4 linked regions of the Saccharomyces cerevisiae S288C genome follow. The gene in region 1 interacts genetically with each later gene. Each region holds a gene or a part of one and is shown in the gene's direction. Other genes may lie near its edges.

Evidence for each region.
Region 2: mutations in CSF1 (region 1) and SKT5 impair growth when combined (synthetic growth defect), as found in Saccharomyces cerevisiae (4 studies listed by BioGRID, with this or other methods).
Region 3: mutations in CSF1 (region 1) and VPS8 together harm fitness more than expected from each alone (negative genetic interaction), as found in Saccharomyces cerevisiae (4 studies listed by BioGRID).
Region 4: mutations in CSF1 (region 1) and ALG8 together harm fitness more than expected from each alone (negative genetic interaction), as found in Saccharomyces cerevisiae (4 studies listed by BioGRID, with this or other methods).

Annotation. Positions count from the first base shown.
Region 1 is NC_001144.5:310,988-319,159, reverse strand, and holds the start of CSF1 (Csf1p), read left to right. Parts: upstream 1-3,428; coding exon 3,429-8,172. Other genes in the region: alanine transaminase ALT1, read left to right, coding at 1-923; GPI-anchor transamidase subunit GAA1, read right to left, coding at 1,209-3,053. UniProt on the Saccharomyces cerevisiae protein: Tube-forming lipid transport protein which provides phosphatidylethanolamine for glycosylphosphatidylinositol (GPI) anchor synthesis in the endoplasmic reticulum. Required for the glucose and other nutrients uptake at low temperature.
Region 2 is NC_001134.8:102,880-110,413, reverse strand, and holds SKT5 (Skt5p), read left to right. Parts: upstream 1-3,007; coding exon 3,008-5,098; downstream 5,099-7,534. Other genes in the region: CMC2 (Cmc2p), read left to right, coding at 1-289; Arf family guanine nucleotide exchange factor YEL1, read right to left, coding at 419-2,482; KIP1 (Kip1p), read right to left, coding at 5,193-7,534. UniProt on the Saccharomyces cerevisiae protein: Activator of the chitin synthase CHS3 which polymerizes chitin, a structural polymer of the fungal cell wall.
Region 3 is NC_001133.9:141,532-148,031, forward strand, and holds VPS8 (CORVET complex membrane-binding subunit VPS8), read left to right. Parts: upstream 1-2,175; coding exon 2,176-6,000; downstream 6,001-6,500. Other genes in the region: EFB1 (translation elongation factor 1 subunit beta), read left to right, coding at 643-722, 1,089-1,629; transcription factor TFIIIC subunit TFC3, read right to left, coding at 6,063-6,500. UniProt on the Saccharomyces cerevisiae protein: Required for localization and recycling of the CPY sorting receptor (VPS10) to the late-Golgi compartment. Involved in the retention of proteins to the late-Golgi. Plays an integral role in the complex vacuolar protein sorting process.
Region 4 is NC_001147.6:447,943-455,073, reverse strand, and holds ALG8 (dolichyl-P-Glc:Glc1Man(9)GlcNAc(2)-PP-dolichol alpha-1,3-glucosyltransferase), read left to right. Parts: upstream 1-1,611; coding exon 1,612-3,345; downstream 3,346-7,131. Other genes in the region: VAM10 (Vam10p), read left to right, coding at 861-1,205; VPS5 (sorting nexin 1), read right to left, coding at 1-1,306; MSA1 (Msa1p), read right to left, coding at 3,749-5,638; ubiquinol--cytochrome-c reductase catalytic subunit CYT1, read right to left, coding at 6,706-7,131. UniProt on the Saccharomyces cerevisiae protein: Dolichyl pyrophosphate Glc1Man9GlcNAc2 alpha-1,3-glucosyltransferase that operates in the biosynthetic pathway of dolichol-linked oligosaccharides, the glycan precursors employed in protein asparagine (N)-glycosylation.

The DNA of each region.
Region 1 (8,172 bases):
TATATACCGCTACTCTAGCTTTGAACAATTCTCAAGCTTTACCATACTATTTAGATGAGAATTCAGGTTGGTCAACTAATCCAGAAGAAATTGAAACTGTCGTCAAAGAGGCTATACAGAACGAAATCAAACCTACAGTTCTAGTGGTTATCAATCCAGGTAATCCTACAGGAGCTGTCCTATCACCTGAGTCTATAGCTCAGATTTTTGAAGTCGCAGCCAAGTACGGTACAGTAGTGATAGCTGACGAAGTTTATCAAGAAAATATCTTCCCGGGCACCAAGTTCCATTCTATGAAGAAAATTTTGAGACATTTACAGAGGGAACATCCAGGTAAATTCGATAATGTTCAGCTAGCTTCTTTGCATTCGACTTCTAAGGGTGTTTCTGGTGAATGTGGTCAAAGGGGTGGCTACATGGAACTCACTGGATTCAGCCATGAGATGAGACAAGTTATCTTGAAACTAGCCTCGATTTCATTGTGTCCCGTTGTCACAGGTCAAGCTTTGGTTGATTTGATGGTTCGTCCACCAGTGGAAGGGGAGGAATCATTCGAGTCGGACCAAGCAGAACGTAACTCCATCCATGAAAAGTTAATTACAAGAGCAATGACACTGTATGAGACATTTAACTCTTTAGAAGGCATTGAATGTCAAAAGCCTCAAGGTGCCATGTATTTATTCCCTAAGATAGACTTACCTTTCAAGGCAGTTCAAGAAGCTCGCCACTTAGAGTTAACTCCGGATGAATTTTATTGTAAGAAGTTGTTAGAATCTACTGGCATTTGCACTGTTCCCGGTTCTGGGTTTGGTCAAGAACCTGGTACTTACCATTTAAGAACAACATTTTTGGCACCTGGTCTGGAATGGATTAAGAAATGGGAAAGTTTCCATAAAGAATTTTTTGACCAATACCGTGACTGAATAAAAGGGGGCAGAACAGTCTTCAATAAACATTTAAATAGCTAGTTTATTATAATAATGTGATCGTTTCTTTCTTCCACAACTCACATATAGTTATTTGATATTATCGCATCTTCGCTTCTCTATGCCATGTTTCCATCAATACTTATGTTTTATTTAATACATATTTGTATCAGTATATCATATCATTTCATCTTCTTTTGCTTCGATTTGTAATGTTTGTGCGTATAAAATCAATTGCGTAGTTCGAACACCCGTTAATCCTTTACTTCTTACCAATGGCACCTAACTTTGCTTTTCTTTCGACCTTACTACGACAGATTTAGATTCAAACGATGACGCTAATATCAATAGCCAACATGGAAGCCAACCTATACAAAGTACAAACCAACTCCAACATTTCAAATCCAACCATGCTGAAACCAGTTTGTTTATTATATCAAATCCATGAAATTCATCATCAAAAAATAGTCCGAATAAGGTTATTGAAATAAATGGATTTGTCAAAATTAATAGTACTAAATTTTTTAGTTTTTGTTTCTGTTGTTGGGGGGTTGCTGGCGTTGTATCCATGTGATTCTCGACGAGCTCTATCTCATCTTTCGGCTCAGTTTTTATTGGGTTAGAGGATTGAGTTGTCACCTCATGTTCGCTAGAACTTTCAACAATGGTCTTCACAAATGTCATAGGAAATGCCAATGTGCCGATCAGTAAAGCCATTGCAAAGTTTATCATTAGCAAAGATGTTGAAACCAAACTGAAATATAAAAAAGCAACATTTTTCAACCTGTATGATAGTGGTTCTGAGATGTGAATTTTTCTGGAAAGTATCAAAGGTAAAAAACAAGATGCCATGCTAATTGTCATCAATAATCCCGATGAAGGTATTAGAAGAAACGCTTGTGAAACAACAAATGATATCACCAATGACACGAACCAAACCAACAACGCTACCAAATTATACTCGGAAAATAAGGATATATTTGCATAAGCATTGTTTATAAATGCATTTAATGAACTTATGGCGAATGCTATAGATAAAGCCACAGCGCTTGGCAAATAACTACTAATGGATACGAACTGACGTGGTGCTAATAACAAATAAAAGAAGAACGATTGGTGAAATTTTTCCAAAAGGTTATTAATAGAGCGAAACATTGCTTCGGGTATACGTCCAAATGTAGTAATATCATGACCACTGTTTCCATGTGCTTTCAATGTTACAGATTGAATCCTCCAGCCGCTAAATGCCTCGTTACCATGGGGCTTTTTAACACCGGACAACGCCCAATCCCTTATTCCCAGGCATAATATTTTTAATCTTGACCAGAAATTATTATTAGTTAACTGATCACTGGGTAGACCGTGCAAAGAAACTTTCATACCTTCATGTTCCGTAATGGATATAGCGATGTTGACAAGATCCAAATTGGGCAGCTCACCATTCAGACCGTCGTATGAGATTTCTACATACTCGAAGAAATCTTCCGTACTCGAATAATCCAACACAACAGCAGCTTCAATGGAACCACCAGTCAAATCTAAGGAAGTATGGTATGCCTCAACCCATGATCTTAATGCTGCACGAGGATTTTCGCTGAAGACAACAATTATATTCTTGGACCATACTGGCCAACGTGAGAAAAATCTTGCTAAAGATACACCCAAAGCTGCGCCGCCAATATTGAATTCATCATCTGAATTAAACCATGGAACGGCAAGCACCATCGCTTCTGTTCCATCACCCCTAGGAGCGTGCATTACACCGTACAATGTTTCTCCATATTGTTCATTTTCGTAAATAGCAGTCTTAGTACCAAATTCTTGTAACCAAGAACCCATCAAATTGTTTCTTTCCATAGAAGTCATGTTTACCATTTCTTTAATTTGAGATCGATAGCCCCTCAAAATGTTCCATTCAGATTCTCTAAAGTAACTATACGCTTGTGAAGGCATCAATGCATTCTCAGAAATGTATGTTCTTCTGTACTGTCCATCCATAGGCAGAATAGCTATAGAAATAAACCCAAATAGAGCGCATAGCATGGAAATAACTGGTAATAAGGCGATTATACGCGGGACAAGCCCCATATCAACAATCCTTCGATGCAACTTCTCCAATAAGGCCATTCTTGGTGTATTATACGCGTCTTTGGTCTGTCAAGTCCTTTTATAAGACAGCAAATGTCATTTCTTTCTAAGTGTAGCCGGCGTGTATTGTTTATGACTTTTTTTTCTACCGCTGGCATTAAAGTGAGAGGTTCACGATGCGTTCCCAATAACTTCGTAGGGATGGCGATCAATATACAAATAGAGGGAAGCCAAACTCCCCACTATAAAGCTGTTGGCACGGTTTTATAAGCTTCAACCTTTCTAGGCTACAGGATACTCAAAAAAAATTACTGCGGTATTATCAACATAGTGCTCTTTGGAAAAAAAAAAAGAATAGTACTCATTAAAGCCACCTGACTCAAGTCTTCTATTGACGGTAATAAGTTAGCAAGCATGGAAGCTATTTCACAATTACGTGGTGTTCCATTGACACACCAAAAGGACTTTAGCTGGGTCTTTTTAGTAGATTGGATTCTCACGGTAGTAGTATGTTTGACAATGATATTCTACATGGGAAGAATCTATGCATACCTTGTAAGTTTTATATTAGAATGGCTACTATGGAAACGAGCGAAAATCAAGATAAATGTTGAGACACTTCGTGTCTCCTTACTAGGTGGTCGAATACATTTTAAAAACCTTTCCGTAATACACAAAGATTATACAATTTCGGTATTAGAGGGTAGTTTAACATGGAAATACTGGCTTTTAAATTGCAGAAAAGCAGAATTGATAGAGAATAACAAGTCTTCTTCTGGCAAAAAAGCAAAGCTTCCCTGTAAAATTTCCGTAGAATGTGAAGGTCTAGAAATTTTTATTTACAACAGAACAGTGGCGTACGATAATGTTATAAACTTACTATCAAAAGATGAACGCGATAAATTTGAAAAATACCTTAATGAGCATTCTTTTCCTGAACCTTTTAGCGATGGAAGTAGTGCTGATAAATTAGATGAAGATCTAAGCGAATCTGCATACACAACGAACTCTGATGCATCAATTGTTAATGACAGGGACTACCAAGAAACAGATATCGGCAAACATCCAAAGCTACTGATGTTTTTACCAATTGAGCTTAAATTTAGCCGCGGTTCCCTACTGTTAGGAAACAAATTCACGCCATCTGTTATGATTCTAAGTTATGAAAGTGGAAAAGGCATAATAGATGTTTTACCTCCAAAAGAGCGATTAGATTTATACAGAAATAAAACACAGATGGAATTCAAAAACTTCGAAATTTCTATCAAACAAAATATTGGTTACGATGATGCTATTGGATTGAAGTTTAAAATAGATAGAGGGAAAGTGTCAAAGTTATGGAAAACGTTTGTACGAGTCTTTCAGATAGTAACCAAGCCTGTTGTACCGAAAAAGACTAAAAAAAGCGCAGGCACATCAGATGACAATTTCTATCATAAATGGAAAGGTTTATCTCTTTATAAGGCTTCTGCGGGCGACGCTAAAGCAAGTGATTTAGATGATGTTGAGTTCGATTTGACGAACCATGAATATGCTAAATTTACATCAATTTTAAAATGCCCAAAGGTCACAATTGCATATGACGTGGATGTTCCGGGCGTTGTGCCACATGGTGCACATCCGACAATACCTGATATTGATGGACCAGATGTGGGCAATAACGGAGCACCTCCAGATTTTGCTTTAGATGTTCAAATTCACGGAGGATCCATCTGTTACGGACCTTGGGCTCAAAGACAAGTCAGTCATCTACAAAGAGTTCTATCACCGGTAGTTTCAAGGACAGCCAAACCTATAAAAAAACTCCCGCCAGGTTCTAGAAGAATATATACACTTTTCAGGATGAATATATCAATAATGGAAGATACTACTTGGCGTATACCGACGAGGGAAAGTAGCAAAGACCCCGAATTTTTGAAACACTACAAAGAAACTAATGAAGAATATAGGCCATTTGGATGGATGGATCTCCGATTTTGTAAGGACACCTATGCAAATTTCAATATAAGTGTTTGTCCTACAGTGCAAGGTTTTCAGAATAATTTCCATGTTCATTTCCTGGAAACCGAAATTAGGTCAAGTGTTAATCACGATATTTTGTTAAAAAGCAAGGTATTCGATATTGATGGGGATATTGGATATCCATTGGGTTGGAATAGCAAAGCTATATGGATAATTAACATGAAGTCAGAACAATTAGAGGCGTTTCTGCTACGTGAGCATATAACTTTAGTTGCAGATACGCTTTCAGACTTTTCCGCTGGTGATCCTACGCCTTACGAACTTTTTAGACCATTCGTATACAAAGTCAATTGGGAAATGGAAGGATATTCCATTTACTTAAACGTCAATGATCACAATATTGTTAACAATCCGTTAGATTTTAACGAAAACTGTTATTTATCCCTTCATGGTGATAAGCTTTCAATTGATGTCACGGTACCCCGTGAGAGTATTTTGGGGACATACACAGATATGTCCTACGAGATCTCAACTCCAATGTTCAGAATGATGTTAAATACCCCCCCTTGGAATACATTGAACGAATTCATGAAACATAAAGAAGTGGGGAGAGCATACGACTTTACAATTAAAGGTTCTTACCTTCTCTATTCCGAGTTAGATATTGATAATGTCGATACGCTAGTCATAGAGTGTAACAGCAAGAGTACAGTACTTCACTGCTATGGGTTTGTCATGAGGTATTTAACAAACGTAAAGATGAATTACTTCGGTGAATTTTTTAATTTTGTGACGTCAGAAGAGTACACAGGTGTCCTTGGCGCTAGGGAAGTCGGAGATGTCACTACGAAAAGCTCGGTGGCAGATTTGGCATCTACTGTAGATTCAGGGTACCAAAATAGCAGTCTAAAGAACGAATCTGAGGATAAAGGTCCTATGAAAAGGTCAGATTTGAAAAGGACTACCAACGAAACTGATATTTGGTTCACATTTTCGGTTTGGGATGGTGCTCTGATATTACCAGAAACGATTTACAGTTTTGATCCATGCATTGCACTACATTTTGCCGAACTTGTAGTGGATTTCAGAAGTTGTAATTATTATATGGACATAATGGCGGTTCTCAACGGGACTTCAATAAAGCGGCACGTTTCAAAACAAATAAATGAAGTATTTGATTTTATACGTCGTAATAACGGAGCTGATGAGCAAGAGCACGGATTGCTTTCGGACCTCACCATTCATGGACATAGAATGTATGGATTACCACCCACAGAACCTACCTACTTTTGTCAATGGGATATCAATCTCGGAGATTTATGCATTGATTCAGATATTGAATTTATAAAGGGATTCTTTAATTCCTTTTATAAGATAGGTTTTGGCTACAATGACTTGGAAAATATATTATTATATGACACTGAGACCATTAATGATATGACCTCGCTAACCGTGCACGTTGAAAAAATAAGAATAGGCCTTAAAGATCCGGTGATGAAATCTCAATCAGTTATTAGTGCTGAATCGATATTGTTTACTTTGATCGACTTTGAAAACGAAAAATATTCACAAAGAATAGACGTGAAAATTCCAAAATTGACAATTTCGTTAAATTGCGTGATGGGCGATGGCGTAGACACATCATTTCTCAAATTCGAAACAAAATTAAGATTTACAAACTTTGAGCAATACAAGGATATCGATAAAAAAAGATCAGAACAACGCAGATATATAACAATACACGATTCACCCTATCATAGGTGTCCTTTTCTTCTTCCGCTGTTCTATCAGGATTCGGATACATACCAAAACCTGTACGGGGCTATAGCACCATCTTCGTCTATCCCAACTTTACCTCTTCCCACTTTGCCTGATACTATAGATTATATCATTGAAGATATTGTGGGCGAGTATGCTACCCTTCTGGAGACCACAAATCCATTCAAGAACATATTCGCAGAAACTCCATCAACTATGGAGCCTTCAAGAGCCAGCTTCAGTGAAGATGATAATGACGAAGAAGCGGACCCTTCAAGCTTCAAACCTGTCGCTTTTACAGAAGACAGAAACCACGAAAGGGATAACTATGTTGTTGATGTTTCATATATTCTGTTGGATGTCGACCCGTTGCTTTTTATTTTCGCTAAGAGTTTATTAGAACAGCTTTACTCTGAAAACATGGTACAAGTCTTAGACGATATTGAAATTGGGATTGTGAAACGATTAAGCAACCTTCAAGAAGGGATCACTTCTATTTCAAACATTGATATCCATATTGCTTATCTAAATTTAATCTGGCAAGAGACAGGTGAGGAAGGTTTTGAGCTCTATTTAGATCGTATTGATTATCAAATGAGTGAAAAGTCTCTAGAGAAGAACCGAACAAATAAATTATTAGAAGTAGCAGCTTTAGCAAAGGTAAAAACTGTCAGAGTGACTGTTAACCAGAAGAAAAATCCAGACTTGTCTGAAGATCGTCCCCCTGCACTGTCGCTAGGGATTGAGGGTTTCGAAGTATGGTCTTCTACAGAAGATAGACAAGTTAACTCATTAAACTTAACGTCATCAGATATTACCATAGACGAATCTCAAATGGAATGGCTGTTTGAGTACTGTAGTGACCAGGGAAATCTTATTCAAGAGGTTTGCACTTCTTTTAATTCTATTCAGAACACCAGAAGTAATTCAAAGACAGAACTCATTTCAAAGCTCACAGCCGCAAGCGAATATTATCAAATTAGTCATGATCCTTACGTCATAACAAAACCTGCTTTTATTATGAGACTTTCCAAAGGGCATGTGCGTGAGAATCGTAGTTGGAAAATTATTACGCGTCTGAGACACATTTTAACGTACCTTCCTGATGATTGGCAAAGCAACATCGACGAAGTGCTAAAAGAAAAGAAATATACCTCTGCTAAAGATGCAAAAAATATCTTCATGTCTGTGTTTTCGACTTGGAGAAATTGGGAGTTCTCAGATGTTGCAAGGTCGTATATATACGGCAAATTATTCACGGCAGAAAATGAGAAACATAAACAAAATTTGATTAAAAAATTGTTGAAGTGTACCATGGGATCATTTTACCTTACTGTTTATGGTGAGGGATATGAGGTTGAGCATAATTTTGTTGTTGCGGATGCCAATCTGGTAGTGGATTTGACGCCTCCGGTGACAAGCTTACCTTCAAATCGAG
Region 2 (7,534 bases), on another chromosome or scaffold:
GGACTTCATCAATGCACTCGATAAATGCCATCAAAAGGAATATTACAAGAGAATATTTGGCCTTTGTAACAACGAAAAGGATGCTTTGAACAAGTGTCTCAAGGAGGCAAGTTTGAATAACAAGAAACGTGCTGTCATTGAAAGTAGAATAAAGAGAGCTGATGTAGAAAAGAGATGGAAGAAAATTGAGGAAGAAGAATATGGCGAGGACGCTATATTAAAGACTATCTTAGATAGACAGTACGCCAAGAAAAAGCAGGAAAGTGACAATGATGCGAACTCGAAATAAAAGCTTTTTTTCTGTCGCTACTTCATTCACACAAATCATCTCAATATCCCTTGTAAATAAAAGGCAGAGTACAGTTTTCAAGTTTATATTTCTTCAGCGCAGTCTTTATATTTATATCTTTAAATATACTTAGAACTGAACAGAACCCATGGCTTTTTGCAAAGCTTTCAAGTAGCTCAGTCGTTTCTTATATTGATTATTCATATACAAATATCTCGAATTCCAATTATTCATGACTGCTTCAAAATAGTTATCGTCAAAGCTCCAAATTTCGACCAGCTTATCCTTTATTTCGTTATGTTTATCTATCCATATACCAAGCTGTCTGGTGAAGTTCATCAATTCCTTTAGCCTTTCTTTTAGTTCGACCATCTCTACATCTTTCGCATCTTCGTATAGTAGCTCTAGCCCCAATAGTGGCTTCCATTCACTTACAACAATATTTTTAAGATTGAGGGAAGCGTGCTCTGTCAAGATCTTGTCACTCCATCCATATTCTGCGTTAGATACGGCTTCGAATTGTGTTAAAGGAACTGGAGAAATCCTACCTGCCCAGAAGTTGATACAGTCCATAAACTTGTGGGCTTCTTCAACACTTCTCGTCTGGAACTCCAGAACAAGCTTTGGTCCGTTGATATTCTCTGGAAAACTAACGGTAAAGTTGCCACTTTTCCTCTTGGTGTTTTTGTTACACACATTTGATTTCATTGCTCCACTACCTATAATTATATTATCTTGCACGACATGTGCTTCAGCTTCAAGCAGTGAGTAAGCAAAATAAGAGCTACTGATATCTTTGAAATAGTCGATGGTAGCACTGTCTGTTTCACTTGATTGGATGATATCCTTAACATCTGGTTTAATTTTGAAAATAAAAATTCTGCCCTCCTTGACCTGTATTTTCACCCTCTCCCATTCAGAATCCTTATTCAAATACGATAAAGAAGTCCTTCTAGATGTGTGCTCAATAAGTGTAGTCGTTTTAGATGGTTTTAGCCATCCGAAGAACGATTTGTTTCTCTTAGAGGTCATTTTTGGTGCCGCCACTTGATCTTTGTCTCTTTTAGAATATTTACGTGGTAAAGATTTCTTGCTTATAAGAATTAAATCGTCCATGAACCAACTGGAGCCGTTTTCGGTAATTAAACCGTCATCAAAAGACTCTTTAAGGTAGAGTGCATCCATGGGGTGATTATTGTGAAAGTTTTTATTTGATTTTGCGCTCATTTCTCGTACAGATACTTGACCATCTCTTGAATATAGTGTAGTAGAATTAGAGTTAACACTACGTAAATTTGATGTACTAAATTCCCGTGATCCTAGAGTAGAGAACCTTTTCAAGGAAGATTGGTTATCTGATATATTTATTGATGTTCTAGATTCTGTGCATAACGGTAAAGGCGTTTCATTTAACGTTTTATAGTATTCGGAAAGTTCTTCGATGATCAAATGTTCGCGGGAGTATATTTTCAATTCTTCGTATTCATTTTCCTCTCTTAGTGCCCTCAGTGTATTGTTGATAAATGCAACCATGGAAAACTTAATCTTTTTATGGTCAACTTGAAAGTTGTTGTGCAAATCCGAATTAAGGATCAACAGGGAAAATAAGACTATATGACATGACTTATAGCCTGACTTCCAATGTGTGTTCGGGTGGCAAGCTATCCATTCTATGCTCAAGCACTCTAGTATCCGGTCGATATTTTGCGCTTCTGCAATGAAATATATACTTTTCGATAAATTGAAAAGCGTTTCTAATAGTGACGACGGCAAAGGACTCAATAACTTTACAAACTCAGTCAAGACTTGATTATTGTTATCGTTTCCCAAGAAATTTGCATATTCCTTGTAAGATACATCTTTGAAAGTGCCTTCCAAGATCTCTGAGGCAATAAGATGACTATTCTGATCAGTTTCCTCGGATTGAGTGGAGCTAATATCTTCAGTACCAGTCCCCGCAGTGGCGGTATCCGTAGTAGGTATCACAGGTTTTTCGTCATTAGCAGCTTCCTTGTTTTGTAAAATATCACACATGTTGACCATCGTGGGAGACTGTAGCATATTTTTCATGCTAGTGGGCATCGACTTACTACCATGAAGGACGCCCTCACTTTCACTGAAATTGTCATTGTAGCCCTTTTGTGAGACCCCATAGGTGTCATTCTTTTTTACCTCGTTTAAACTGGCGCACATACCTCTTTGCGATCCCTTAATAGTCCATTGACTGCACAAAATTGTACCATCTAGTCAGCCTTACTGATCTCAAAGTTGATCCGTAAGATCAATGAACCGTCTCTATCATCTATAGATATTTTGCACCCAAACATCGCATTTTAAGTTCATTTGATTTAATATAATACATTTGAACATGCCATCGCACTTAGCTGCCATGTATAGGCCATAACTAATCGCTAATTATTTGTTGCAACTATCTGCAAATCTATACGACATATGTACATATGACTTTCACGAGTCTTCATGCATGTTTTAAGAAAGGTCATCGTTATATTTTCCCACGTTTCACTTCGCGTTTTGACTTGCTAAAAAAAGAACGAAAAATTCTTTCTGCAGACCCTCTCGAGGATGATGTAAGATTTAAGAGTAGAGACAAACTAGGTGTTGGCACTTGACTTTAGACTTGCTGTTAATAAGCCTTCCATTGTATACTACCAGGTTCTCGTCTTTTTTGGTGATAAAGTTAAAATAAAAGGATAAAAAATGGCAAGTTCACCGCAGGTACATCCATATAAGAAGCATTTAATGCAATCACAGCATATAAATTTTGATAACAGGGGCCTACAGTTTCAAAACAGTTCGTTGAAGGTAGGTCAAGATTTTTCAGATAATAAAGAGAATAGGGAAAACAGGGACAATGAAGACTTCAGTACCGCAGACCTTCCTAAGCGGTCGGCAAACCAACCGCTTATCAATGAGCATCTTAGAGCTGCGTCAGTACCTCTACTATCAAACGATATAGGCAATAGTCAAGAGGAAGATTTCGTTCCAGTCCCACCCCCACAGCTTCATCTTAATAATTCAAATAATACTTCCTTAAGTTCTTTGGGAAGTACTCCTACAAATTCTCCGTCACCGGGAGCATTAAGACAGACAAATTCGAGTACATCTCTTACGAAGGAGCAAATAAAGAAAAGAACTCGTTCTGTAGATTTGTCTCACATGTACCTGTTGAATGGTAGCAGTGATACCCAATTAACGGCTACTAATGAATCTGTAGCAGATTTGTCACATCAGATGATCAGTCGATATTTGGGTGGTAAAAATAATACTTCCTTAGTTCCAAGGCTAAAAACAATAGAAATGTATAGACAAAACGTTAAAAAATCTAAAGATCCTGAAGTGTTATTCCAGTATGCGCAATATATGTTACAAACCGCACTGACTATTGAATCTTCCAATGCTCTTGTTCAAGATAGTGACAAGGAAGGAAATGTCAGCCAATCTGACTTAAAACTTCAGTTTTTGAAAGAAGCGCAAAGTTATTTGAAGAAACTGAGCATAAAGGGTTATTCAGATGCCCAATACTTATTAGCGGACGGCTACTCATCCGGAGCATTTGGGAAGATTGAAAATAAAGAAGCATTTGTCTTATTTCAAGCAGCTGCAAAGCATGGTCATATAGAAAGTGCTTACAGAGCATCGCATTGCTTAGAAGAAGGACTAGGAACAACAAGAGATTCTCGTAAGTCAGTCAATTTTTTAAAGTTTGCGGCTAGCAGGAATCATCCCTCAGCAATGTATAAATTGGGACTTTATTCATTCTACGGCAGAATGGGTCTTCCAACCGACGTTAATACTAAATTAAATGGGGTAAAATGGTTATCAAGGGCTGCAGCAAGAGCTAATGAGTTGACGGCCGCAGCACCATACGAATTGGCTAAGATTTATCATGAAGGGTTCTTAGATGTTGTCATTCCGGATGAAAAGTATGCAATGGAACTATATATTCAAGCAGCAAGTTTAGGGCATGTTCCTTCAGCAACTTTGTTGGCACAGATTTATGAAACAGGTAATGATACAGTAGGGCAGGATACATCACTTTCTGTACACTATTATACGCAGGCAGCGTTAAAAGGCGATTCTGTGGCAATGTTAGGTTTATGTGCATGGTACTTACTGGGAGCAGAACCTGCTTTTGAAAAAGATGAAAATGAGGCTTTTCAATGGGCCTTGCGTGCAGCTAATGCTGGTTTGCCAAAGGCCCAATTCACTCTGGGCTACTTCTATGAGCATGGCAAGGGCTGTGATCGTAACATGGAATACGCATGGAAATGGTACGAGAAAGCTGCAGGGAACGAGGACAAGAGGGCGATTAATAAGCTACGCTCAAGGGACGGTGGACTAGCCAGCATTGGTAAAAAACAGCATAAAAAAAATAAAAGTATCAGTACTTTGAATTTATTCTCTACTGTGGACAGTCAAACAAGTAACGTAGGGTCAAATTCAAGAGTTTCTTCAAAATCTGAAACATTCTTTACTGGAAATCCAAAACGTGATCGTGAGCCACAAGGTTTGCAAATTAACATGAATTCAAACACGAATAGAAATGGTATTAAAACGGGTTCTGATACAAGCATCAGGAAAAGTTCTTCCTCAGCAAAGGGAATGTCAAGGGAAGTTGCTGAGCAGTCGATGGCAGCAAAGCAAGAAGTTAGTTTATCAAATATGGGCAGTTCAAACATGATTCGTAAAGATTTTCCTGCAGTAAAAACTGAGTCAAAAAAACCTACAAGCTTGAAGAACAAGAAGGATAAACAAGGTAAAAAAAAAAAAGACTGTGTAATTATGTAAGTACACATACTAGATTGTTTTCATTCTTTATAGGTGCAACAGTTTACACTCAATGCATATAGTGATACAAATATTTTACAATGGCTATATCCCCTTATTGATGAAGTTTTTTATTTTGCAGTATGTCATTATTTTCAGTTTCTTCTCCCTTCAATATTGGCTCGGTGGTAAATCTTCTCTTCAAATTGTTCTGCGATTCTCGTCCAGTACCCTCTGTATTTGGTAAGGTCTTTGATCTATTGGACTTGGCCGAGTTTATGCTTTTCGGTATAAGAACTTTTGGTAGAGGTTGATCAGGCACTGGCACTGGGGTTTTTGGACTGAATTGTGAAAGAGGAAAATTTTCATTAGTTGACAAGTTTGGTATACAAGTACGAGAATTAGATGTGTCGTCTTTGCTCTTATTTTCAGCATCCCTATAAATCTGAAATTGTTTTGGATAATCCAATAAGGGTAAAGCCTTGATTACTGACGCTTCAGGTCTTGTATGCTCATGAAGGGGTTTTTCTATGCTGTGAGCAGTGAAAATGTCCATACCCAGTATTTTCAGTGATTGTAGCTTCTCGCAATGTTCAGAAAGCACCTCATCTTGTGTTTTTGAGATTTGCATAATATTCTCATCGTAATCAGTTAATATAAAATTGCACAAAGAATTAAAATTTTCATTTATTGCAATCAAATTGATATTGTTTTCATTAGATATGGTTTCAATTTGTGATTGTATTTCATCTATTAATGACATGATCTTCTCATTTGTTAGGGCAATGTCTGAACAAATTATATTTTGAAATTTTTTAATAGAGGTCAATACTGGATTTGATGCGATTGTGTTATCATCGCCACAGGTTTCACAAATGGTTTGTGATATCTTGTTTAAAAATTCATTGATGGGCAAACTTCTCAGTTTGGAGGATATGTCCATGTTCATTCCGCGTGATAGACTGATTAAATCGTTAGTAAAGCTTTCATTGTTCTGAGAAACCGTTTTCAAAGTGTTTTCAGCATTATGAGCGAGGGATGCTATTGAGTCGGAATGAATTTTATTAACTACGATATCTGTTTCGTTGAAAATAGAGGCCGTCTTCTGCCAGATATCTTGATCCAACTTAGATTGTTTATCTTTTAGGTTATCGATACATTTGTTAAGTTCGTCGTGGAATTCACTACGCGTCCTGGAAACGTGATCCTGAAAATATCGCTTCATTTCAGCCAACTGTTGGTTGAATTGGTTAGAAATCCTGCGCTCATTGATCAGATCGTTTTTCAGTTTTTTTATTTCTAAATCTTGCTCTTTAATTAATTTCGATGATCCTGACTGCTGGTTTTCTATTAAAACATTCATACTATTCAAGTTAGTGGTGCAATTTTGCGATATTTCGTTTATGGAAGTTAGAATTGAACTGCCTATCGAATCAAGACAGCTTTTAATATCGTTTTGTAAATTTTTTAGAAATTGTTGATGTGATTGGTAGATTTCATTCAAATCTTTACGATAGTGAGAAGTAGAATCACTCTGAAATATTTCCAATGAAGTCGAAATACTACGCACCAGTTCGTTCATCTGATTCATCAATAAGTTAGTAGTAATGTTTAATAACGATTTGAGAGTAGAATCGTGTTTCGCCTTATGGGTATTTACGTTCCTGGTTAGTTCTTCGGTGACGCCTTTGATAACTTCGGAACATTTAGAGTTATAATTATTTAAAGAGCCCTGTAAAGTGTTCAAAGTCTGTAAAACTTGTTGAGAGATTTTTAATTGCATGTTCTGGTTCGTATTATACTGTTTTTGAGAATTTTCTAGTGAAAAATCTCTCTGTTGTATGACTTCATTCATTAGTTCGAGATTAGTATGGTGAATTTTTTGGATTTCCGAGTAAAAGTTAGAAAAATCGACATTAAAATTCTGTATTATGGCAATTAGTTTTTCCTTTTCAGACTGTAAAAGATTATTGATATCTAATTGGTTCAGGTAGTTTTCTTTGAATTTTTTAATTTGTTCTCGCAGGTTATGTATTTTTAGATTTTGCTCATCAATCAAGATAGAATTGCTCTCGTAAAGGTCCAACTGATCTTGAGTTATAAATATACCTTGTTTGTTTCTTGAATTTTTCAAATCATTTCTTAATTTTTCAATCTCTTGAATGTAGTCTTTGAGACATGTATCCTTCGATAAAGACTGATTTACTTGTGGAGTATTCTTAATTGATTTGGCTCTCGTTGCATATTCTAGCGTACTTGCAGTCTCTTCCATGGATATTTTCGCAGGTGATATAGTTGCGATAATGCATGTTTTCGTCATACCACCTAAAGAGTCTTGTAGCAATCTTGTTAGCTTAGATTCTCTGTAAGGTATATGGTTAGAATGATCAACGAGTGCGTTGATAACACGGCCTAGTGTTAGCAGCGATTTGTTTATTAGGCCAGCTTCTTGAGCCC
Region 3 (6,500 bases), on another chromosome or scaffold:
AAGAATTGGGAAACGAAACTACAACTCAATCCCTTCTCGAAGATACATCAATCCACCCCTTATATAACCTTGAAGTCCTCGAAACGATCAGCTAATCTAAATGGCCCCCCTTCTTTTTGGGTTCTTTCTCTCCCTTTTGCCGCCGATGGAACGTTCTGGAAAAAGAAGAATAATTTAATTACTTTCTCAACTAAAATCTGGAGAAAAAACGCAAATGACAGCTTCTAAACGTTCCGTGTGCTTTCTTTCTAGAATGTTCTGGAAAGTTTACAACAATCCACAAGAACGAAAATGCCGTTGACAATGATGAAACCATCATCCACACACCGCGCACACGTGCTTTATTTCTTTTTCTGAATTTTTTTTTTCCGCCATTTTCAACCAAGGAAATTTTTTTTCTTAGGGCTCAGAACCTGCAGGTGAAGAAGCGCTTTAGAAATCAAAGCACAACGTAACAATTTGTCGACAACCGAGCCTTTGAAGAAAAAATTTTTCACATTGTCGCCTCTAAATAAATAGTTTAAGGTTATCTACCCACTATATTTAGTTGGTTCTTTTTTTTTTCCTTCTACTCTTTATCTTTTTACCTCATGCTTTCTACCTTTCAGCACTGAAGAGTCCAACCGAATATATACACACATAATGGCATCCACCGATTTCTCCAAGATTGAAACTTTGAAACAATTAAACGCTTCTTTGGCTGACAAGTCATACATTGAAGGGTATGTTCCGATTTAGTTTACTTTATAGATCGTTGTTTTTCTTTCTTTTTTTTTTTTCCTATGGTTACATGTAAAGGGAAGTTAACTAATAATGATTACTTTTTTTCGCTTATGTGAATGATGAATTTAATTCTTTGGTCCGTGTTTATGATGGGAAGTAAGACCCCCGATATGAGTGACAAAAGAGATGTGGTTGACTATCACAGTATCTGACGATAGCACAGAGCAGAGTATCATTATTAGTTATCTGTTATTTTTTTTTCCTTTTTTGTTCAAAAAAAGAAAGACAGAGTCTAAAGATTGCATTACAAGAAAAAAGTTCTCATTACTAACAAGCAAAATGTTTTGTTTCTCCTTTTAAAATAGTACTGCTGTTTCTCAAGCTGACGTCACTGTCTTCAAGGCTTTCCAATCTGCTTACCCAGAATTCTCCAGATGGTTCAACCACATCGCTTCCAAGGCCGATGAATTCGACTCTTTCCCAGCTGCCTCTGCTGCCGCTGCCGAAGAAGAAGAAGATGACGATGTCGATTTATTCGGTTCCGACGATGAAGAAGCTGACGCTGAAGCTGAAAAGTTGAAGGCTGAAAGAATTGCCGCATACAACGCTAAGAAGGCTGCTAAGCCAGCTAAGCCAGCTGCTAAGTCCATTGTCACTCTAGATGTCAAGCCATGGGATGATGAAACCAATTTGGAAGAAATGGTTGCTAACGTCAAGGCCATCGAAATGGAAGGTTTGACCTGGGGTGCTCACCAATTTATCCCAATTGGTTTCGGTATCAAGAAGTTGCAAATTAACTGTGTTGTCGAAGATGACAAGGTTTCCTTGGATGACTTGCAACAAAGCATTGAAGAAGACGAAGACCACGTCCAATCTACCGATATTGCTGCTATGCAAAAATTATAAAAGGCTTTTTTATAAACTTTTTATAATTAACATTAAAGCAAAAACAACATTGTAAAGATTAACAAATAAATGAAAAAAACAACGAAATAACTTAGGTTTTAGGCTAAAAAAAACAGAAGGAATTTTGAACGATAAACTTTTCGACTGCACACGAAACATTATTACTAATTTGTGTAACCACTATATAAGGAATCGTGTTTATTAATTGAATTTATTCCGGGAATATTCAAGTTATGTATATCTCTTTTCATATTCTTAAATACACATACTCATAATATCTTGTCGAAAATACGCGGTGTAGGGAGTTATGGTGGATAACTTTTTCACGATTAGAAGAAAAGGAAAATTTCATTATTCGTAGCTTAACATGGCAAAAACGAGAAAGACATATAATCAAAACGTGAGTTTCCTGTGGAAAAAAAAAAAAGGGAACCTCTGGTTACGATGATATACCTGCGTGAAAAAGGACAGTTATTACCAATACATACAAAGGCTTAATAAGTGTAAAATATATATCTGCCGAGACCATTACTCATTACACCTAGAATGGAGCAAAATGGCCTTGACCACGACAGCAGATCTAGCATCGATACGACTATTAATGACACTCAAAAGACTTTCCTAGAATTTAGATCGTATACCCAATTAAGTGAAAAACTGGCATCTAGTTCTTCATATACGGCACCTCCCCTGAACGAAGATGGTCCTAAAGGGGTAGCTTCTGCAGTGTCACAAGGCTCCGAATCCGTAGTCTCATGGACAACTTTAACACACGTATATTCCATCCTGGGTGCTTATGGAGGGCCCACGTGCTTGTATCCGACAGCCACGTATTTTTTGATGGGCACTTCTAAAGGATGCGTACTCATTTTTAATTATAATGAACATTTGCAGACAATCCTAGTGCCGACCTTATCTGAGGACCCTTCTATTCACTCAATAAGAAGTCCAGTGAAATCAATTGTCATATGTTCCGATGGTACTCATGTAGCTGCCTCATACGAGACCGGAAATATATGCATTTGGAACTTGAACGTAGGGTATAGAGTGAAACCCACTTCTGAACCAACAAATGGTATGACCCCAACGCCTGCCTTACCGGCAGTCTTACACATCGATGACCATGTGAACAAGGAAATCACAGGGTTAGACTTTTTTGGTGCTCGGCATACAGCCCTGATTGTTAGTGATAGGACAGGTAAAGTATCACTCTATAACGGTTACAGAAGAGGCTTTTGGCAGTTGGTGTATAATTCAAAAAAAATTTTAGATGTGAACTCTTCCAAGGAGAAATTAATAAGGTCAAAGTTGTCTCCACTAATATCACGGGAGAAAATTTCCACTAATTTGTTGAGTGTACTCACAACTACACATTTTGCCCTTATTTTATTATCGCCACACGTTTCTTTGATGTTTCAAGAAACTGTTGAACCCTCAGTACAAAATTCTCTAGTCGTGAATAGCTCTATTTCATGGACTCAAAACTGTTCCAGGGTTGCTTATTCCGTAAATAATAAAATTTCTGTTATTTCCATATCTTCATCAGACTTCAATGTTCAGTCCGCTAGCCATTCTCCTGAATTTGCAGAATCTATATTATCCATTCAATGGATTGACCAGCTCCTACTTGGTGTTTTAACCATATCGCACCAATTTTTGGTATTGCACCCCCAACATGACTTCAAGATCCTGTTAAGATTGGATTTTCTGATTCACGATTTGATGATCCCACCTAATAAATATTTTGTAATAAGTAGAAGAAGTTTCTACCTGTTAACAAACTACTCATTTAAAATTGGCAAATTTGTGTCTTGGTCAGATATTACTTTAAGACATATTTTGAAAGGCGACTACTTGGGTGCATTGGAGTTCATAGAATCACTTTTGCAACCTTACTGTCCACTGGCAAACTTGTTGAAGCTAGATAATAATACGGAAGAGAGGACTAAGCAACTTATGGAACCATTTTACAATCTGTCCTTGGCTGCCCTAAGGTTTCTTATAAAAAAAGATAATGCCGACTACAATAGGGTTTACCAATTATTAATGGTAGTTGTTCGTGTTTTGCAGCAATCTTCCAAAAAACTAGACTCAATTCCTTCTCTAGACGTCTTTTTGGAACAGGGTCTGGAGTTCTTTGAATTGAAGGACAACGCGGTATATTTTGAAGTTGTAGCAAATATTGTTGCCCAAGGATCAGTTACGTCAATTTCCCCAGTTCTTTTCAGGTCCATAATTGATTACTATGCTAAGGAGGAGAATTTAAAAGTAATTGAAGACTTAATCATCATGTTAAATCCTACTACGCTTGATGTTGATCTTGCCGTCAAACTATGCCAAAAGTATAATTTGTTCGATTTATTAATATATATTTGGAACAAGATCTTTGATGATTATCAAACCCCAGTGGTGGACTTGATATACAGGATTTCTAACCAAAGTGAAAAATGTGTGATCTTCAATGGTCCTCAAGTACCTCCTGAAACGACTATATTTGATTACGTAACGTATATCCTTACTGGCAGGCAATATCCACAAAACTTGTCTATATCACCAAGTGATAAATGCTCCAAAATACAAAGGGAACTTTCAGCATTTATTTTTAGTGGCTTCTCCATAAAATGGCCGTCGAACAGCAATCATAAACTTTACATATGCGAAAATCCAGAAGAAGAGCCAGCATTTCCTTACTTTCACCTTTTATTGAAATCGAATCCGAGTAGGTTCTTAGCAATGCTCAATGAAGTGTTTGAAGCGTCCTTGTTTAACGATGACAATGACATGGTTGCATCAGTTGGAGAAGCAGAATTGGTAAGTAGGCAATATGTTATTGATCTACTATTGGATGCTATGAAAGATACGGGAAATTCAGACAACATCAGGGTACTTGTTGCAATTTTCATTGCAACTAGTATATCAAAATATCCTCAATTTATTAAAGTGTCTAACCAAGCCCTCGACTGCGTTGTTAATACCATATGCTCCTCTAGGGTTCAAGGTATATATGAAATTTCTCAAATAGCTCTGGAGTCGCTTTTACCCTATTATCATTCAAGAACAACAGAAAATTTTATACTGGAACTAAAAGAAAAAAATTTCAATAAAGTTCTTTTCCATATCTATAAAAGTGAAAATAAGTACGCCAGTGCGCTTTCACTTATTTTAGAAACTAAGGACATCGAAAAAGAATATAACACGGACATTGTATCCATAACCGACTACATACTCAAAAAATGCCCACCTGGAAGTTTAGAATGTGGCAAAGTTACTGAAGTTATCGAGACGAACTTTGATCTTCTTCTCTCAAGGATCGGTATCGAAAAATGCGTCACAATTTTTTCTGACTTTGACTATAATCTTCATCAAGAAATCCTGGAAGTAAAGAATGAGGAGACTCAGCAAAAGTATTTGGATAAGCTTTTTTCTACGCCAAATATCAACAATAAGGTCGATAAGCGTTTAAGAAATTTACACATCGAATTGAACTGTAAATACAAGAGCAAAAGGGAAATGATTCTTTGGCTTAATGGTACAGTTCTCAGCAACGCTGAGAGCTTACAAATTCTGGACTTATTGAATCAAGACTCTAATTTTGAAGCTGCAGCTATAATTCACGAACGCTTGGAAAGTTTTAACCTAGCAGTCAGGGATTTATTAAGTTTTATTGAACAATGTCTAAATGAAGGGAAAACAAATATATCTACTTTATTGGAATCTTTGAGGAGGGCCTTTGATGATTGTAATTCTGCTGGTACCGAGAAAAAATCGTGTTGGATATTATTGATTACATTCCTGATCACTCTATATGGGAAATATCCTTCACACGATGAAAGGAAAGATTTATGTAATAAACTACTTCAAGAAGCATTTTTGGGATTGGTTAGGTCCAAGAGTTCCTCTCAGAAGGATTCAGGTGGGGAATTCTGGGAAATAATGTCTTCTGTTCTTGAGCACCAAGACGTTATTTTAATGAAAGTTCAGGATTTAAAGCAACTGCTACTGAATGTTTTTAATACTTATAAATTGGAAAGATCTCTTTCTGAGTTGATTCAAAAGATTATAGAGGATTCTTCGCAAGATCTTGTTCAACAGTATAGAAAATTTCTGAGTGAAGGGTGGTCTATACACACCGACGACTGCGAAATCTGCGGGAAAAAAATATGGGGAGCTGGTCTGGACCCATTACTTTTTCTAGCTTGGGAAAATGTACAGCGCCACCAAGATATGATTAGTGTAGATCTCAAAACTCCCCTTGTCATATTCAAATGTCACCATGGCTTTCACCAGACTTGCCTCGAAAACTTGGCCCAGAAACCCGATGAATATTCTTGTTTAATTTGCCAGACGGAATCTAACCCAAAAATAGTATAACATTTCTAAATATTTAATACAACTTTGGTTACATAAAAGTAAAATTTATACACCTCATTTCATTATGTAGATTCATATATAGAATACCAATTATGATTGACCCAATAGCCATCAAAATCAGTAGTTATTAATACTTGTCTTTCTAGGAGCCATTTGCATATTTCTGATATTTCATGAAGCGAAAGTACTTCACGACACCTAGATTGCAATCTACTCAATGTTATCCCTGGATGAAATATTATTTCGTTAACGACCATAGTAACTACCTGCTTCCATATGTTTGGCCTAATGGAACCAGATCCATTCACCCATAAACGAGAAAATGGTTTGCCCAGTGGAACTTTGACAGCAGACTTCCTTGCTGTATTCAATTTTGTCTGAGAATTGGCATATATAATCAGAGGGGGAGTTAATGTTCGTATTTCAAATCTCCTTGAAGTATACGTTAAAGGTCGAACATTTCTCACCATTGGAATTACATCCATATTCAATAGCTCTCC
Region 4 (7,131 bases), on another chromosome or scaffold:
TTTTTAAGACCTCGGCAGCATCCTCTGCACCTAGTAGTTGTATCTCACTTATCCGGACTTCTGACAGATCGTTGCTATCATTAATAGCGCCAGATCCAGTCAAAAATGCCCTTTTTTTAGACTCTGAACTAAAGTCATCACTTGTCAAAAAGAGTAGAAAATCTTTGTCCTTTTGTAGAACCGGATCTTGACATATTTTTTTTAACATGCTTTCCATTTGAAATCTTCTATTTTCAATGAAATTTTCCTTAAAACTGCCTACTGATTGCTTCTCTGGTGGTGGTGGTATTACTTTACCCCAATGGTTGTTCTGCAATTGACGATATAGCCACCTGAAATCTCTGTAACGCCTGCTTACCTGTGCATATTTTAGCTCAAGTAATGATGATTCACTGATTACAGTATACTCCACATGAATGGATGTTAGCTCTCCTACTTTGACCGGGTCTTTAACTTCAACTTTGAAAGCCACAGCCTTTTCGGTTGGTGGCACCTTTGAGCCAATCTTGGTTTTTCCAAACTTTTCTGAGTTTTCCTCGACCTCAGCAGGACTTGAAATATTAGCACCTGTCTGAGGAAGATTGTATAAAGGCCTGTCCACTTGCTCAAGGATATTTTTTTCAACAGAAGCTGTGAACTTGCCCTCATTGTTTTCTCTCCTTTCATTCCTATCGTCCAATGGCTCTTCAACAAATTCATTCTCTTTTTCAGCTTTCTTTAAGGGATCAGTAAAGGGTGTTTTGATGGTATCATCGGAAGCAGTTGTTCTCTTCGCTTTCAGAGAATGGTTGCGTTTGGAGTTTCTTTGAGCTCTGGCGGAATCAAACAGAATTCGTGGTTTGCCGGATCTTCTTCCAGAGATGCTTTTTGAAGTATTTGGTGAAGTGTTAGCATCGTATATCGTATCGTCAAAAACTAAGGGAGAGTTGGCGTTTCCAGTGAACAATGCGCCACCGGATTCTCTTGTTGCAATAAATTGTGTAGTGCTATTCTTGAGATCAGCAATCGGATCCTGTTCAGGGGCTAAAGAATTAATAAGATCGTCAGCTTTGGAATTGTCATGCTCCTCTAGTTGCGGATTACCAGCCACCGACAAACCAGGGTCTTTCCATTCTGGCGCACTATCCAAGTCTATCTTGTCCGCAAATGAAGCTGTGGTCTCTAAAAGCTCATTGTCTTTTCTTTCTTCATTTGTAGATATTTGACCAATTGATTCAATTGAATTTGAAACGAGGCTCTGAGTTTTATCTCCCTCATGATTTAGTTCGTCCCAAACAGGTGCTTCTAGATTATCCTCGTAGTCCATGGCTTGTTATTGCAGGATGTATGAAAGTTTATAAAATCCCTGCTGCAAATTAAGAGATATATGGTTTCGTTCACTACGTAGTTATAGTAAATAACCTTTGCTTAACCCATTTTTCAAAGCATTTTTAAAATTTACTGTTATCACTTAGTTGTTCTTAGCGGACAACTTCCGAAAAGTGAAATTTCATTTTTCAAAACGACAATAGTGGTATAGAATTATAGAATAACATACGTTAAAAATAGCTGAAGTTCATTACAGTTCTGTAGTGGTCAGCAAGGCATTTGACGTCTATTGGATAGCCTACGATGAAAGGTGATCGTTCGAGGCAAAATATGGCTGTGACAAAGAAGGCAAAGTTAAAAAAAAATGACGAGCCAAAAAAGGTTTTGAAGACTGCCGCGACCGAAAAAGGTGAGGGATCCAAGCGCTACTCCTTATGGAATTTCTGGATAAGCACATTGTTTTTAAAATTACTATTGATTCCTGACTACTTCAGTACAGATTTTGACGTTCATAGAAATTGGCTGGCAATCACCAATAAATTGCCCATCAGCGAATGGTATTATGAGCACACTAGTCAATGGACATTGGATTATCCGCCATTTTTTGCTTATTTTGAATGGTTTTTATCGCAATTTGTTCCTAAATCTGTACGTGATGACGGTTGTTTGGATATAGTGGAGATCGGAAAGTTCGGTTTGCCAACAATCGTTTTCCAACGACTCACTGTCATCTTCAGCGAAATTCTTCTATTTGTCATCCTTCAAATATACATTAATACTACAAAGCTAAGTGAAAGATCTCAAAGTTTTGTGGTTGCTTCTAGCATTGTACTATCACCCGGGTTTTTAATAATAGATCACATTCACTTCCAATATAATGGTTTTCTTTTTGCGATTCTAATAGGCTCCATTGTCGCCGCCAAGAATAAGAGATACATCTTGTGCGCTGTTCTGTATACTACAGCCATATGTTTCAAGCATATATTTTTATATTTGGCGCCATGTTATTTCGTGTTTTTATTGAGAGCATACGTTCTCAATGTCAACAATTTCAAGTTTAAAAGTTACAAAGATTTTTTGTTCCTGATAAGATGGGCAAATCTTTTGAAGTTGGCTACCGTTGTTGTTGGAATTTTCACTATTTGTTTCCTTCCATTTGCTCATCAAATGCCGCAAGTGTTGAGCAGGTTATTCCCATTCTCAAGAGGACTGACGCATGCATATTGGGCACCAAATTTCTGGGCGTTGTATTCTTTTATGGATAAAATACTCACTACGGTAATGTTGAAATTACCGTACGTCCACACTTTTGCTACAAAATTTATTAAACCTCCTCTGATCCCTCAGAATATCAAGGAAATTAATGAAAGGCTCGCGGCAAACAACAATGGAAGTAAAGGTCTAGTTCAAGACGTATTTTTTGTTATTCTCCCTCAAATTCCTCCAAAATTAACGTTTATTTTGACGATATTTTACCAGGTCTTAGCAGTACTTCCACTTTTGTTTGATCCATCGTTCAAAAGATTTGTTGGCTCGTTGACTCTCTGTGGGTTGGCATCGTTTTTGTTCGGGTGGCATGTGCATGAGAAAGCTATAATGCTAGTCATCATTCCGTTCACATTTCTTGTTGGATTTGATCGTCGTCTTTTGGTACCGTTTATGTTAGTTGCCTCAGCTGGTTATGTTTCCTTGTATCCTCTTCTGTACAAAGGCCAAGATTTTTTCATTAAAACATTATACACTTATGTTTGGTGTATAATTTATTTTGCCGCTTTTAGAAAAACTACGAAGATTTCTTCAAGTGTAGAAAGAAGAATCTTTTTCTTGGATAGGTTGGCATTAACGTACATCTTTTCATTGTTACCAATCGTCACCGTATTACAAATATTGGATGAAGTCAAGTGGAGATATTCATTTTTGCAAAAATTTGAATTCTTAGGATTAATGATATATAGTGTCTATTGTTCATTAGGTATAATCAGCTCGTGGTTTGCCTTATCGTGGTTATATAATTTTGACGAATTACTATGGCAGTGATACAATATCGCTTCCCTAGGACGTTAAAAAAAAAGTGATATAAAATTATTTATATATGAATCGATTTTAGAAATATTTATTGTACATTTTCACCTACTAACTAATTGAATAACGATTAGATTTCGATTTATGCAGTCCCTCACGCCAGTTCCTCATTATTTTTCGTTTACGTATTGTGCGTTTTACACTTGAATTAAAATAACATTACATTAAACTGAATGAAGGTCAACTCCATTCACATGCATCAGTTGAAAGGTATATAAGTACTACTTCAATATATTATCTATCAGCTCTGGGAAAATGCTTTAAGAAGGAAAAAAGGTAAGTAAACTATTTTTTAACGCTTCATGATTATTGAATGGTCCTTTTGGCTCATATCGTTTTCATGAATCTATGACTATTTTCACTGATCATCGATTAATCTTTTCAAGGCAGTTCTAGCATCATCCTGTTTGTTGCTGTACGGGTTTTGTTTTAGTGAATCGTCAAAGCTAGAGGGAGCTTTCCCGGTTCCAACAGGGAACCCGTGTAAATTAGGAGTTGCACTGTTCGAAATTGAAGTACCTGGTATGTATTTGGTTCCTAATGAGCCATTCATGGTTTGCTGGATTAATGGAGTGCATTCAATCAAAGTGGGTAATTGAAATTCTTGATTTCTAGGAGTTGAAGGTCCATGGGCAGCGGTAAATAAATTCGCCGGCGGCTGTAAGTTTTCGCTTTTGGTGTTACCTAGCATATTTGCTACCCCTGTTGTGGTTTTTTCTTTGTTGAAGTAAATAGATGACACCCGAGACATAGATTGATGAGGTGGGGAAGCGATATTGATTTGTGGCGGGGAAGAGTTCATGTTTATGTGAGGTGGGGGTATTTGAAATTGACGCTGTTGTTGTTGCCTTTGAGTAGGAGAATTGGATTGCGATTGCACTTGCACTTGCGCCTCCAATTGAGCTTGTAATTGTCTATGGACGTTGCCGCTATCCGATGCGGTGGCTACAGTGGTGCCATTTACCATGACATTAGAGCTTCTTGGTGGGCTGAATAATCCAGGTGAACCAAAGTTTATCCATGAAGGAGGTGTGTTAAAACATTTTTGACGTCTGGGCGTATTAGATACATTGAACAGCATTTCTGGCCAATTCCCATCTGCGTCGTCAGTAAGCAATAACGGGTCACCACTTGAAAACTTAAACACGAATTCCTGCTGTTGTTCGTTAGATGCAGTAGTCGACTTGGGCAACATTTTGTTTCGAGGTGATAAGAAAACTCCCGGGCTATTAGTCAAGGTAAGTAAAGTATTAGCATCCGCGATATTGCTAATGGAATTACCGTTCTGATTGTTATTATTGCTGGCACCCACAGCATTTGTAGATTTGGATATAGTATCACTTAATGATACGGAATTTAGTGCAACATTGGGAGTAAATCCCATCCTGAATTGTAGAGAACTCTTTGGAGTGGATGGGGGCTTAAGTTGCGCGCTTGAAGGGGGTGATTGTGGTGGTTGCGAAAGCAGTATATTATTGTTTCTAGCACTGCCTATTGGAGAAGCTGAAGTTTCTATGATAGTCGGCAATTCTGTGTCGATGATGTCAGATCTGCTTGGTTTCGCTGGAGGTGCTTCGGGGAGCGTATCAGTATCACAATATTTCTCATTCTTCATCTGTTTTAAGAGAGAAAGAATACGTCTCTTCTCAAACTTGGGTGCATTTTTCTTGCTTCCTTTGTGAATTTTTTCATTTTGCATGATCTTTTTATTATTATTGTTCATTAAATGAGACGATTTTGACGATGGAGAGAAAGGCAAAGATCCTGCAATAACGGCCTTCCCACTTTCGGTAATGGTTAAAGAAAGTTTGAATTGTTCCTGTGAAGGAAACATGTAGTCATTTTTCTTTTGGAAAGCTGGAGAAGACGTCATGATAGGCGGCGAACTCTGAAGAAAGGTTTTCCTTGTTTCAGAAAACACCGTGTTATTATAGCTGTCATTCGAAGACGGGGTAGAGATCGGCGTAGAGCCATTAGTGCTCGATTTCTTGGTGGGAGTAGAAAGAAGAACGCCCCTGTATCTGCCCTTTCTCGTAGTTGCCGCCAAATTATGATGATGATCGATGCTGAGTCTTCTTTTATTCGGGGATGGACTAGATTGCCCCACTTTCATCAAAGGTTTGGCAAAACTGTGAGGCCCCTGCTTCTGAACCTGCATTGAAGAATGCGCCATGGGGCTTTGTAGGGGATTGGGATAATCTTTGGTGATGGGAGGCCTGCCTCTTTTTTTGATCATGCTTTTATCCATAGTGAATATTTTTCACGAAGTATTCTTGAGATATTTTTATTCCCCTTTTCAACTACACAACCCAGGTTGGTGAATATATACTTAATCAAATCCCTTTAATCACCTTGGAATGTGCAACCAGCTCTTCTTCTCAAAATTTAAAAAAACTTCCGAGAATGAAAAATGAACTAACGAAAAATTTTCAAGACCGTCTTAAAGATCCCTTATCGGTGCTGCAAAGGGGAAGCAGTTATTAAGAGAATTATTAGTATTTGCTGGCTGTGCCTTGATTGTATTAATTGATGGAACAGCGAGAGAAATTTTAGAGGTATGAAACCAGACAATAGAACGGGACTAATATGGAAAAAAACCGATTTGAGGGATTTCCTATTAGGGAAAAATAAGTGTTTGCCTCTTTAAGGAAAAAATACTAGCGCGTTACGCGGCGACTTCAAAGATCGACCATAACGGTCTCGCTCGCATCCTCAACGATTGTGTCATATTATTAATGGAACGAAAGAGAAGGTGGATGGCCAAAGCCTTGGAACAGTGGTAGATTTACACTAAGTTTACTTTCTTAATAGATAATAGGAATATATATGTACATATATAAATAAAAAATAAATAAAATAAATATTATAGAAGAACACCAAGACGCCGGTGTTGGGCATCCAAACAAAATATTGTAAAGTTTCTTTCTTGCAATCTTCTACCTTTATTTTTATTTTTTATTGCTGTTAGGTTGTTAACATTTAAACATCTTTTTTTTTTTTTTTTTTTTTTTTTATATTATTATTCGTGATATTTCGCTTGCAGCAGTATCTCAGTACATGAAGGAGACACTATTGAAGTGAGACGTTGTTTACAAGCAGTGAAAAAATAAATAGGGTGGCCGAAAAAAAAGAAACGAAACCAGAGAAATAAAAAGGAAAAGTAGGTAAATTTTTGTTACCTTTCACTCTCTTTCTGAAAACAATTCAGTATGCTCTACTAATATTCTTTTTTTTCATTTCTTTTATTATGTTTTTTGTTTATTGGTTTTTTTTTTTCCGTAATTTAAATAATAGTGGTTTTCATTTTTTTGTCAACTACTTTCTTGGTTTTGGTGGATTGAAAACGAATTTTCTGGTTTTGATACCGGCCCATTTGAACTTCTTCACCCAGATAGATAGCAAATACAAAGATGATAAGATTATCACCGTTTTCAAACCCAATCTCTTTCTTTCGTCATGTTCAGGTTCGGCACACCAGTTTAAAAAGGTGGTAACGTCCTTTGCCATTTGAGATGTCGTTGCGGGGGTACCATCTTCGTACTCAACCATGTCATCAAACAAGACTCTTGCCATTGCAATGGAACCACCTGGGAAGTAAGGGTTATAATTAGAACCTGGTGGTAAAGCCACACCAGCAGGAGGTTCATCAGGATAACCGGTCAACAAAGAGAAAATGTAGTCACAACCACCGTGTCTAGCTTTCACGATCAAAGATAGATCAGGTGGCAAGGCACCTTGATT